Sus scrofa: one gene and its partners. The protein of the gene in region 2 interacts with the protein of the main gene of each other region in a pairwise test. Links are inferred from orthologs where the notes say so. Each region holds a gene or a part of one and is shown on either strand. Other genes may lie near its edges.

Region 1 (2,535 bases), on a different chromosome or scaffold from region 2:
TGCCTCCGCCTCTCAACTCAATCTCTATAAATAACCAATCACGAGCGGAGTCTACTTTTTAGCCAATGAAGCAGCCCAAACTGATAAGATCTTGGCAGTAGCCAATGGGAGAGCATTTGAGGGTGTGAGATTTGCGCCCCGGGACCAATGGGTCCAGAGTCTGGGAGAGGTAATTTGAGCTAGAGTGTGGGTGTGTGGTGCACAAGCTTCCTACTTCCAAGCCCCCAAACCTGCTCTGTGCACTGAGCATGCCCTGACTAGCTGCGGGCGCCACCGCCGCTTTGGATAGGACTGTAATCCGCTCTCCAGATTTTGGCCCCAGCTGACTGGGGCGGGGGAGGGGGCGAGTGGGGGGGCGGGGTGGCCCGCGGAACCCTAGCCCGAAGACAGCTCTGGTTAGTAGAGGCAGCCCTTTCCCTAGTCGCAACAGGGTTTCAGACCCAGCATTCCCGTTTTCTTTGTCCCAGAGATGAAAGTGCGGGAGAGTAGGCCAGAGAAGGTCGGGTAGAAAGAGCTGCGCCTTGGGTAGGGGAAGATGGTCTTCCCGCCAAACACCCAAACGTCCTTTGGGTCTCAATCCCGGGAGACACACCCTCCGGGGGTCTGGGAAGTGGGATCTACGGGCTCTGAATGATGCGAGGCAAGAGCCCAATCCTCCCTATTCCCAGGGAGGAGTGAGGGGGTGGCTGCCGCACCCACTCGCTTCTCGAAGAGCCTGAGCCCCTATGTATGAACCCAGAGCGGCGAAAGAAGGCTGCCTCCAACCTCCCACTGGAGCTCTCCCAGCCCGCCACAAACACCTACACATCCCGGCACATTTGTCCTCTTGCTGGGAGACCAGAGCCTCCGGCGAATCCGCTAGTCCCGACTCAAATCGCGAGCCCCACCCACAACCCCGCCTCCGCCCGGCTCCCTGGAAAACCAGGAGCAGCGGATCCGGCGGGAGCGGCCGGCGGCGGCGCACTGGGCATGCTCGTCCGGGCGGGGAGGGCCGGGCTGCGCGCGGCGAGTAGGAAGCCCTCGCCCCGCGGAGGCTGAGGAAGAGAGCTCCATGGGCCGCGGCGGTGGGCGCACGCTCTGCGGGGACTCATGCCACGCGCGTCCCGGCCCGACGCGCAATTAGCTGCCGCCTCCGCAGCCCGCTACCTCCGCCGCCTCCTCGCCCTTCTGGGCTGCCGCGACGAGAAGCTGCAGCCTTCGCTTTGCACAGGCTGCCGGCATTGTCCTCCGGTTCCGCCGCCCAGGCTGCCGCTGCCGCTGCCGCCGCGGGCTGCTGCGGGGCCCCGGACCTGCGCCCCAGGGACGCGCTGCCGCTGCCGGCCGGCCCGGCGCCCGGCCCCCGCTCGGTGATTTCCGCGCTCTGCGCTCCTCGGCCATTTCGCTCCTGAGTTTTTCCTGCGGAGCTGAGGAAGGGTAGAAGTCCAGCCGCCAAGCCCAGCCTTACTACGGCGCGCAGCCCCGACGGGCGAGCGCCGACGGAGCCATGAGAGAGTACAAAGTGGTGGTGCTAGGCTCGGGCGGCGTGGGCAAGTCCGCGCTCACCGTGCAGTTCGTGACCGGCTCCTTCATCGAGAAGTACGACCCCACCATCGAGGACTTCTACCGCAAGGAGATCGAGGTGGACTCGTCGCCGTCCGTGCTGGAGATCCTGGACACGGCCGGCACGGAGCAGTTCGCGTCCATGCGGGACCTGTACATCAAGAACGGCCAGGGTTTCATCCTCGTCTACAGCCTCGTTAACCAGCAGAGCTTCCAGGACATCAAGCCTATGCGGGACCAGATCATCCGCGTAAAGCGGTACGAGAGAGTGCCCATGATCCTGGTGGGCAACAAGGTGGACTTGGAGGGCGAGCGCGAGGTCTCTTACGGCGAGGGCAAGGCCCTGGCCGAGGAGTGGAGCTGCCCCTTCATGGAGACATCGGCCAAAAACAAAGCCTCGGTGGACGAGCTGTTTGCCGAGATCGTGCGGCAGATGAACTACGCGGCGCAGCCCAACGGAGACGAGGGCTGCTGCTCGGCCTGCGTGATCCTCTGAGGCGCCCGCGGCTGCCGCGCGCCGGCCGAGCTCTGCGCACAAAAGCCAAACGCACCCGACTCTAAATGTGATTTCTCTTCTTGCTTTGAGATTGGAGACGACTTTGCATCGGCCGGGGTGTCCCGGGAGCCCGGCTGGCCCCCGTGGCCATGTCCCCTGCCTCTGCCCCGTGTCCGAGGGGGTGTGCCGTTCTGACCATCCGAGACCCGATGGAAATGTGGCTCTTTGCGGCATGTACGTTTCTCATTGATTTTGGTTGACGCGTTATTTCCCCATTGACGCAGCCGTTGGGGCGCTGTATTGGCAGCTTGACACCGGCAAGCGAAAGTTTCAGCCTGGAGAAAAAAAAAAAAAAAAAAATGGGGTGGGGGAGGAAGAGGACGGGGAGAAGGTTGGAAAGGGGGAGTTTTTTGTTTTTGTTTTTCTGTCCAAAACCGTTTTTCTCGTTCCAAGTTTTAAATACTCGGAAGGAAGTCCGGGAGAACCAAATGAAGGAGCAG
Region 2 (4,214 bases):
GGTTCCTTGGCCTCCAGCCGTCTGTTGGGTGCGAGTTCCGTCTGACCAGGGCTGGAGCTGGTCTCCACTTGGTCTGCTCATCTGCCTGACGGCTGTGTGCCCCAGGCAACCTGGTCGGGGAGGCCCTGGCATCTGCCTCTCCCTCTAGACCTTTCATTCTAGCTTTTATCCAGGAAGCGTGTATTGTGGCTTCTAGGGCCAGTCCTGGGCTGGCCACCGAGGTGAGAGAGATGAGCAGGACAGGCCCCGACCCTGCCCCTGGGGACCCGTGGTGCGGTAAGTGGCTCCGGTCAGGGCAACCGAATGGCCCACACCCAGGGCTGGCGGCTGGAAACTGCCTGTCCTCAGGGCCTGCCCAGGGTGACTCTGGCCCTTTCCTCTCCGAGGAGGAGGCGGGGGGAGCTGGAGTCCAGCGGGTTGTCCTCGCTGGCTTTGAAGCCCTGGTTCTAGGTGGCAGCTGAGCTGTAGCCCTGAGGGAGGCTCCACTGTGGGAAACGGGTCAGCCCAGCCTCCGCTGCTCCCCGCCCCGCTCCCTCCTCCTCCTCTTCTCCAGGCCAGAGGGGAGCAGGCTGGTGGACTGGGCCTGGGAGAGGGAGAATGTGCCCCTTCCTGGGCAGGGGGCTGTGAGCTCTCAGGACCCTTGAGTGCTGTTCTCTTGATTCCAGGACCCTCTGCCTAAACTCCACAGTCTGTTCCTGAGGCCTCCATTCCAGACCCCTGCGTCCAGTGCTAGGACAGGGAGGGAGGGGCCAGGACCATGAGGGAGGGGGCAGCCTCCACCCTTTCGACTTCCACTCCCAGGGTCCTTGTGTGCAGCCTGGCCTGGGAGCTGCTGCCCGGGGAAACCGGACCGAGCTGTGTGAGTGGTGGAGAGCCGGGCCGGAGGATCTGCTCCTGGGGGGGTCGGGCTGAGGGCTGAGTCCTGTGGAGGGAGGGCTCTCCCCTCCCCCTTGTGCACTTGGGTCTTCTCTCTTGAGGTCCAGGGCGAGGTCGGCCTTCAGGGGAGCAGGGGGCCGGGTTCATTATATGCAGTCCCGTGTGTGTGAGTGTGTGTGTGTGTGTGTGTGTGTGTGTGTGTGTACGCGGGTGCAGGAGAGTCACCAGGAGGCAGCGGAGAATCTGGCTCCGGGAGCCAGCGGTTCCCCGAGTGCGTGGCCCCAGGCGCATGGGCGCGGGTGCGGGTGGCAGCGCAGCGTGTGCAGGGCGAGGGTTGCAGGGCGCGGGTGCGAATGCTGGGAGCGGGAGTGGGTGCGAGGGCGCGGATGCGGGTGTGGGTGCAGGTGCAAGGCTCAGGTGCGGTTGCGAGTGCAGGGAGCCGATGCGGGTGCAGGGCGCGGATGCGGGCGCGGGTGCAGGGCGCGTGCAGGGGGCGGCGGGCGGGGCGGGCGCGGCGGCGGCGGCGGCGGCGGTGACAGCGGCGCCCGCGCTCCCCGCGCGTAGGTGTGCGGCGCGCTCCTGGCGGGGACGGAGCGCGCAGATCTCGCGTGCGCTCGCCGCCCGGCGCAGCCCAGCCCGGCCCCCGCTCGGCGCCGCGAGCCGAGGTGTCGCCCGCGCCCGCGCCCGTGTCGCCGCCGTGCCCGCGAGCGGGAGCCGGAGTCGCCGCCGCCCGAGCGCAGCAGAGCGCACGCCGAGCCCGTCGCCGCCATGGCCACCACGGTGACTTGCACCCGCTTCACCGACGAGTACCAGCTCTACGAGGATATTGGCAAGTAAGAGCCGCGGCGCGTGCGGGCCGGGCCCGGGGCCCCGGAGGGCGCCGCGGGCTGAGGGCCGGGACCCTGGAGACCCAGACCCTCCGCGCCGCCGGCCCCGGGCGCACTGCGGCCCCGCGCGCCCCCGGCTCCTCCTCGCTCGGGGCCCGGAGCGCACGTCCTCGCGCGGCCCCGACCCCCGGGACCCGGGGCCCAGCCACGGGACCTCGGCGCGCGCGGCCCTGCCGGGCCCTGTCCAGCGCGGTCGCCTGGTCGGAGGCCTGGGCTCCGGCCGCCGGGCGCGGGGCGGCGGGGGCGGCAGCAGGTGTCCCCGGAGCGCCCGGCAGACGTGACGCATTTGGCGGCGGGAGGTCAAAGAGGAGCGGCGTGCGGGGGCGGCCGCGGGGCCTAGAGCGCGGGGGAGGGGGCGGCCCTGGCCCGGAGGGTCGTCCCCGCGCGGGCTGTGCGGTCCCCACCCCCACCGAGCGGCCGGGCGCGGGGGCGGCGGGACCTGCTCTGCGCCTGCTTCTCCGCGTGGCTCCATCCGCGAGGGGGGTGCCCGCTGCACTCCGTGCCTCTTGGGAACAGCCTCTGCTGTGGGTCCCCGGAGGAATCGGGGTTCTGGAGGATTTTCCCCCAGATCCTTCTGGAAAGAGGAGTCTGGAGAGCTGGGGCCGAGGTCAGGGAGCTTGGACCAGGTCACTGGGGCGGAGATGAGGGGGTGAAGCGGCACTTGATGGGCTTCTGATTTCAGGGTCCTCGAGGCAGGAGGGGGTTGGATTCTGGAGAGTTTTTTTGGGGGGGCAGGGGGGAGGTACTTCGAAGGCTCGTTTCGGGTAGGGCCTCACCGGGGAACAGGTGGCTCCTGGGCTCTGCTAACCAGCATGAGCGATGCCAGGCCCTGGACCTGACTCTGCCGCCGGGGTCTGCCTCAAAGCCGGTCATGGGCTCCTCTCTGGTCTGGGGTCTCCCCTGTGCGAATCAGGGTGGCTGCCCTGGCCTCCCTAGGTCTGGCTGCAGAACTCCTTGCTCAATCCCCGGGCTCCAGCCTGGCGGCAGCCAGAGACCCATCCTCCTCCACCCTCCTCCGTCCCTCCCGCGTGGTGGGGGCCCTGGCGAGGTTTCCTCTTACACATCCAGAGGCAGCTACCCCCTCTTTATTAAAAAAAAAAAAAAGTCTGTGGTGATACCTTGTGTTGGCGAGGGATGCTGATCATTGATAATTGTGGGTGTGAGCTGGGAGGAGTGTGTGGGTGTGCGAATTCCCCAATTCTCCCTGCACTGGAGGAGGGGGGATGCCAGGCAGGCTTGGGGGGGCTGAGGAGTGAGTTGGAGTGGAGAAAGCCCATGGTGGGGGGCCCTGGGGACACAGGAATTCCCTTCCCTCAGGTGGGGGCTGATTGGGTGCCTGGCCCCAAGGCAGGGGGCCTTGGAGAGCAGAGCAAGGGGGGCAGCCAGCACACAGGCTGTGTGCACCCCTGAGGCCCGGAGGACACAGGCCTGGAGGAAGCTTCCAGGGCCTGCCTGGATCAGGCCTGTGAGGATGGGGTGATGCACTGGCAGTCCTCAGATGGCGGCAGGTGGTTCTCTGAGGCAGAGGGTGGCAGTGGGAGAAAGGCCACCCCATTCTAGGGGACTTTCTTGTTGCTCCTCTACTTCGTCCCAGGCCCTCCTGCCAGGCGCCTCCAGGTCTCTTTGCAGAAGCGCCTCTTGTCATTTCACCCCGTTTCCTCAACCTGAAGCTTGCACCGCTGACCCTGCCTTGACCTTTCTGTGAACCCGCCTGGACCAGAGGCCCCCCCAGCGTGGTCCCCCTACCGCCGCAGGCCTCCGGTTCCAGCAGCAGTGACTGGTTATCCTGGCTGCTGCCATCCGCACCCACACTGGGCAGAGAGGTCCCTGCGGCTGCCCTGGGGGAGGCCCACAGGGGTGGCAGATGCTGCAGTGGAGGCCAGGCTCCTCTCCCATCAGCACAGACACGAGCAGTTTCAGGAAGCGAGCTGCAGGCCTCGGGCGTGAGTGGGGGCAGAAGTCTAGCCATCGAGGGGGACCAGGGAGAGGAGGGGAGCGTGTCCCTGTGAGTGGCCCAGCCCTGCGGAGCCCACAGGGCTTCAGCTCGGCCCAGCACCCCTCAGTGGAGCCCCCCAGGTGCCAGGCCCAGTGAGGGGCACTCAGGGGCCTGTCCTAGCCCCTCTGGGGGTCCTGGGTGGGGAGCAGGCAGGGCCAGGCAGGGTGCGCTGCAGTGGAGCAGGTGTCAGGATGGAGAGTCCGGCCCTCCGGCCCCCCACCGCCTCCATCCAGGGCTGGGGTCCACAGTGGCCATGTTGGCGATTGTTGACAGCGCCTGGCCTGTCCCAGCGCAGTTGGTGTTGCTTCCCGGCCCAGGTGGATGCGTCCAAGTTTATTTAAAGCTGCAGCCCCTGGCACCAGTCAGGCGACACCAAGCTCCCTGCCCGGCCTGGGCCGGGCCACAGGCCCACAGCTGCTTGTGTGAGTGACGTGGCCGCTGGCTTCTGCCCTCCC
Region 3 (4,082 bases), on a different chromosome or scaffold from region 2:
CGAGCACAGCCAAAAAAAAAGTAAAAGAAGTCCCAAGTCCTTCTCTCATTCACTGTAAGCCTTCCTTGGGTCAGACTCTGCAGCTGAACTTGTTTTTAAAATCTGTATAACAGGTATACAGATTTTAAATGGTACCCCAATATTGGGAAAAATAAGCAAGATGAAATACATGAAGTGCTCAGCTCAGAACCACAGAAAGAGCACTGACTGTCTAATATTATTCTCCCAGGAGATAGTAAAAGAGCCCAGGACGCAAAGACGCACAGGTAGGTAGTTAATATTTATTGAATACTTCACATGTGCCAGGAACTTTTCTAAGTACATTTAATTCTTACAAGGTCACTCTGCGATCAGACTGGTACTATGCCAATTTTCTTTTTCTTTTCTTGTTTTGTTTTGTTTTGTTTTGCTTTGTTTTAGGGCCACATTTGCAGCATATGGAAATTCCAGCCTAGGAGTTGAATTGGAGCTGCAGCTGCCAGCCTACACCACAGCCACAACACAGGATCTGAGCCACATCTGTGACTTATGCCACAGCATCACAGCTTGCAGCAACGCTGGATCCTTAACCCACTGAGCGAGGCCAGGGATTAAGCCCACATCCTCGTGGATAACTAGTCAGGTTCTGAGACACAAGGGGAATGCCCTTATGCCCATTGTATAGATGGGGAAATGGAGGCATAAAAGGTGTCAGGCCCAATAGCATAACCCTAGTAAGTGGCAAAGCCAGGATTCCAACTCAGGCAGCTTGTCTCTGAAGTCCATGCGTACCACATCCGTCACTAGCAATGATTAATTTGAAAAATCATGACTTGCTTGAATATTTCAAAATCAATATTCCGTAGCTTAGGAAGCATTTTCCCACCCACTCTTTCTTACCACAGCAGCCCAGAGAGGAAGGCAATGTTCACCCCCCCTCATAAAGGGAGGGGGAAACTGAGGCTGTGAAACAGGGAACTAACCTGCCTTGCCAAGGTCACACAGCAAGGTCAGTGGCAGCAGTAGTGGTGGAATTTGGGATTTTCTGACTCCAAATTCAGGGGACTCTTTCCAGCCTGGCTCAGCTCCCAAGCCCCCTGAATAGCGAGTCTGCTGGCCGGAGCCCTGGGGCTTCCTCCACAGATCAGTTGCTCTGGCTGGGCTTCCACTGTTTGGCTGGAGGGTCCCAAGGCTGCGTCCCCCACCCCCACCCCACCTCCCCACCGCTCACTATCAGACGGGAGGGGCAGGAACTCCGAGGCTGGTGGAGTTTCCGACCAGGCAGGAAAAAGAACAAAGGAACTGTGTGGGGGGAGAAGGTGGAGGGGGTGGCCAGGAGGGTGGCCGGATTGCAGGGGACACTTCACCATGGAATATGAAGTCAAGAAAGGGAAAAAGGTAGGTGGGAGGTGGGAAGGGATACAGGGCAGAGAAATGTCCCCGGAGGTGGACGAGGGAGAAGCCTTGGGGGGTGGGGGTGGGGGGTCAGCAAGTGGTGTCAGGAAGACTTTTCTTCTTCTTTGGAAAGTCTTCCTCCCCACCCTTGGACAGCCAGACATTTGGGCTCCCTGACCCGTCACCCTGCTCTCAGTGGCCTCTGCCATCCTGGGAAGGGACAGATGGACAGGCAGGGAAACCCAGGCAGCCAGATTAGTTTGGGACATACTCCCAACCTGCTTCCCTGGTGTTCCTGGGGATTCCCTCTTGCAGCTTCTCAGACCGAGGGGCAGACACCGAGCAAACCCATTCCCCTGCTCCCTGCCTCCCTCCCCAGACAGAGGACCTCAGCAGCGCAAGTCTGTGCTGAGGCTGCCCATCCAGGCTCGGGACACCTACCTGCCCCACCCCCCACCCTCACCCTGGGTTCCAACGAGGCTGCCCCTTCCCCATCTTTATTCAGGGACCAGCTCTCTTCCCCAAAGGCCTCAGCCTGGGGATCATCCCCCCACCCCCTAGATCTTTACCCCTTCCTGACTCTCAGAAATTGTCTAGTCTGGTTCTCCGGGCCTTTCACTTGTTTGTCTTTAGGGTCCAGGGAGACTCTGGGGAGCCCAACCCCTACCCCCACCGAGCCGTCCTCCCTGGGAACCTGGGTCGGGCTGTTTAAAAGGCTCCTGCATGAATTGTGAGGGCTCCGAAGGGAGCCACATCATGGGTGCTTGTTCCCTCTTAGTTCATTCATTCTATAGATATTATTTATTCAGTATCTATGATGTGCCTGGTGTTGGTGATGCACTGGTGAGCAAAGGCAGACAAGGTCCCTGCTCCCTCCCTGGAGCTCACAGTCTAATGGGGGAGACAACTATTAATTTTTTTAGAGCAATTAGTGTAAAATTGCATAAAAGGTTCCATGCAGAGTGCTGGAGAATATTAAGAGCCCAGCTCTAGACTGGTGAGTTTGAGCTGAGATCTGATGGGTGAGAGGAAAGGGGATAGGGAAGAGTGTTTCAGGCAGAGGAACAGCATGTGCAAGGCCCCATGATAGGAAGGAATGTAGCCAGTAGGATGAACGGAAAAACAGCCCTATGGCTGGAAGGCAAGAGTGAGGGGTGGTATGGGGTGAGATGAGCTGGAAAGGCCGGCAGGGCTGGACTATTCAGGGCCACCTCCTCCACTCCACACATACACACACACACACACACACACACACACACACACACACACTCCCACACACGAGATAAAGTCCCAGCTCCTTAGCTGGCATTCAAGCCCCTGATGACTTATTCATCTCATCACTCAGCCATGGTGGATTACAACACAACTTCTCTAGGCTCCTGCTCATTAGGCCCTTGCAGCCCCCAGGGTTTTGCACACTTGCTATACCCTCTGCTTTGAAGCCCGTTCCCACATCGTTTTTCAGAGCTTCCATGTACTTTAGCCAGCTCCACAATACTGATTTTAAAACTTGAACTGGGCATGTTTAAAACACAGATCCCTGGGTCTCACCCCAGGTTCTGATCCAATAGGTCTGGGATGGAGCATGAGAATGTGCCTTTCTTTTAAGTTCTCAGGCGATGCTGTGCTGCTGGTGGAGGCCCAGGAACCACAGGCTGAGAACCATTGCTCTAGAGCAGCGATGACACTTTGCAGAAATTTAAATTCTGTTCGGCTGGGCTGGGGCCCTGGAATTTGCTCCTTTAACCTTGCTGCAGGCCACTTTTATGCAGGTGCCCGCTGGGTTACACTTAAATGTACTTATTAACCATCTAATATTTAGGGAGACACAGAAAAGAGCTTCACAAATACCTATGCACCTGCCACTCAGCCACATTGAATGTTAATATGTTTCTGTACTTGCCCCAGCCTGTGCCAGTTCCTTAAACCCAAGCCTGGGCCTGGGCAGGCCTTCTACCCTCACCTGGGTGTGTTTGTTTGTTTTAGGGCTGCCCCTGTGGCATATGGAAACTGCCAGGCTAGGGGTTGACTAGGAGCTGCAGCTGAGGCCTATGTCACAGCCATAGCAACACTGGATCTGAGCTGCATCTGTGACCTACGCCACAGCCTGCAACAACCCCAGATCCTTAAGCCACTGAGAGAGGTCAGGAGTTGAACCCACATCCACATGGAGACTATGCCAGGTTCTTAACCCCCTGTGCCACGACAGGAACTCCTCACCTGGGTGTTTAGAATGGAAGGATTAGAGCCAGACTGCCCAGGGTGAACTATTGGTTCTACTGCTAGTAGCTGGTGACGTTATGAGCTACTTCCCTGTGTGAGGCTTAGTTTCTCCATCTATAAAATGGGAATCACAGACATACCCCATCTGCAGGGGTCTCGCAAGAATTAAATCAGGTAACCTAAGTAAAAGGCTGCGCAGATAAGTGCTGGATAAAGTCAGCTGCCATCATTACTGTTCTTCCCCCCAACCCTTGCCTCCCCTAGGGCTTCGTGTCCCCCATCCGGAGGCTGGTGTTCCCCAAGGCTGGGCGCCGGGCAGCCTGTCGGAGCAGCGTGAGCCGCCGGCCCTTGCACTCAATGCCCCTTTATCCCCCCGACTACCTCATCGACCCCCAGATTCTGCTGTGTGACTATCTGGAGAAAGAGGTCAAGGTAGGTGCAGATGAGGAGGAGAGATGGGAAGCATCTCTGGGGTGAGGGGTTGA

What was found. The genes of interacting proteins can lie anywhere in the genome.
Region 1: the proteins of CAMK2B (region 2) and RAP2B interact in binary tests that used the Homo sapiens proteins (3 or more experiments, as listed by UniProt). The two-hybrid records come from large-scale screens. The link is inferred for Sus scrofa from reciprocal best matches to the Homo sapiens genes CAMK2B and RAP2B.
Region 3: the proteins of CAMK2B (region 2) and CCM2L interact in binary tests that used the Homo sapiens proteins (3 or more experiments, as listed by UniProt). The two-hybrid records come from large-scale screens. The link is inferred for Sus scrofa from reciprocal best matches to the Homo sapiens genes CAMK2B and CCM2L.

The regions. Positions count from the first base shown.
Region 1 is NC_010455.5:93,306,629-93,309,163, forward strand, and holds RAP2B (ras-related protein Rap-2a precursor), read left to right. Parts: upstream 1-1,483; coding exon 1,484-2,035; downstream 2,036-2,535. UniProt on the Homo sapiens protein: Small GTP-binding protein which cycles between a GDP-bound inactive and a GTP-bound active form. Involved in EGFR and CHRM3 signaling pathways through stimulation of PLCE1.
Region 2 is NC_010460.4:50,860,811-50,865,024, forward strand, and holds the start of CAMK2B (calcium/calmodulin-dependent protein kinase type II subunit beta), read left to right. Parts: upstream 1-1,414; 5' UTR 1,415-1,644; coding exon 1,645-1,709; intron 1,710-4,214. UniProt on the Homo sapiens protein: Calcium/calmodulin-dependent protein kinase that functions autonomously after Ca(2+)/calmodulin-binding and autophosphorylation, and is involved in dendritic spine and synapse formation, neuronal plasticity and regulation of sarcoplasmic reticulum Ca(2+) transport in skeletal muscle.
Region 3 is NC_010459.5:35,669,788-35,673,869, forward strand, and holds the start of CCM2L (cerebral cavernous malformations 2 protein-like), read left to right. Parts: upstream 1-1,282; 5' UTR 1,283-1,347; coding exon 1,348-1,377; intron 1,378-3,861; coding exon 3,862-4,029; intron 4,030-4,082.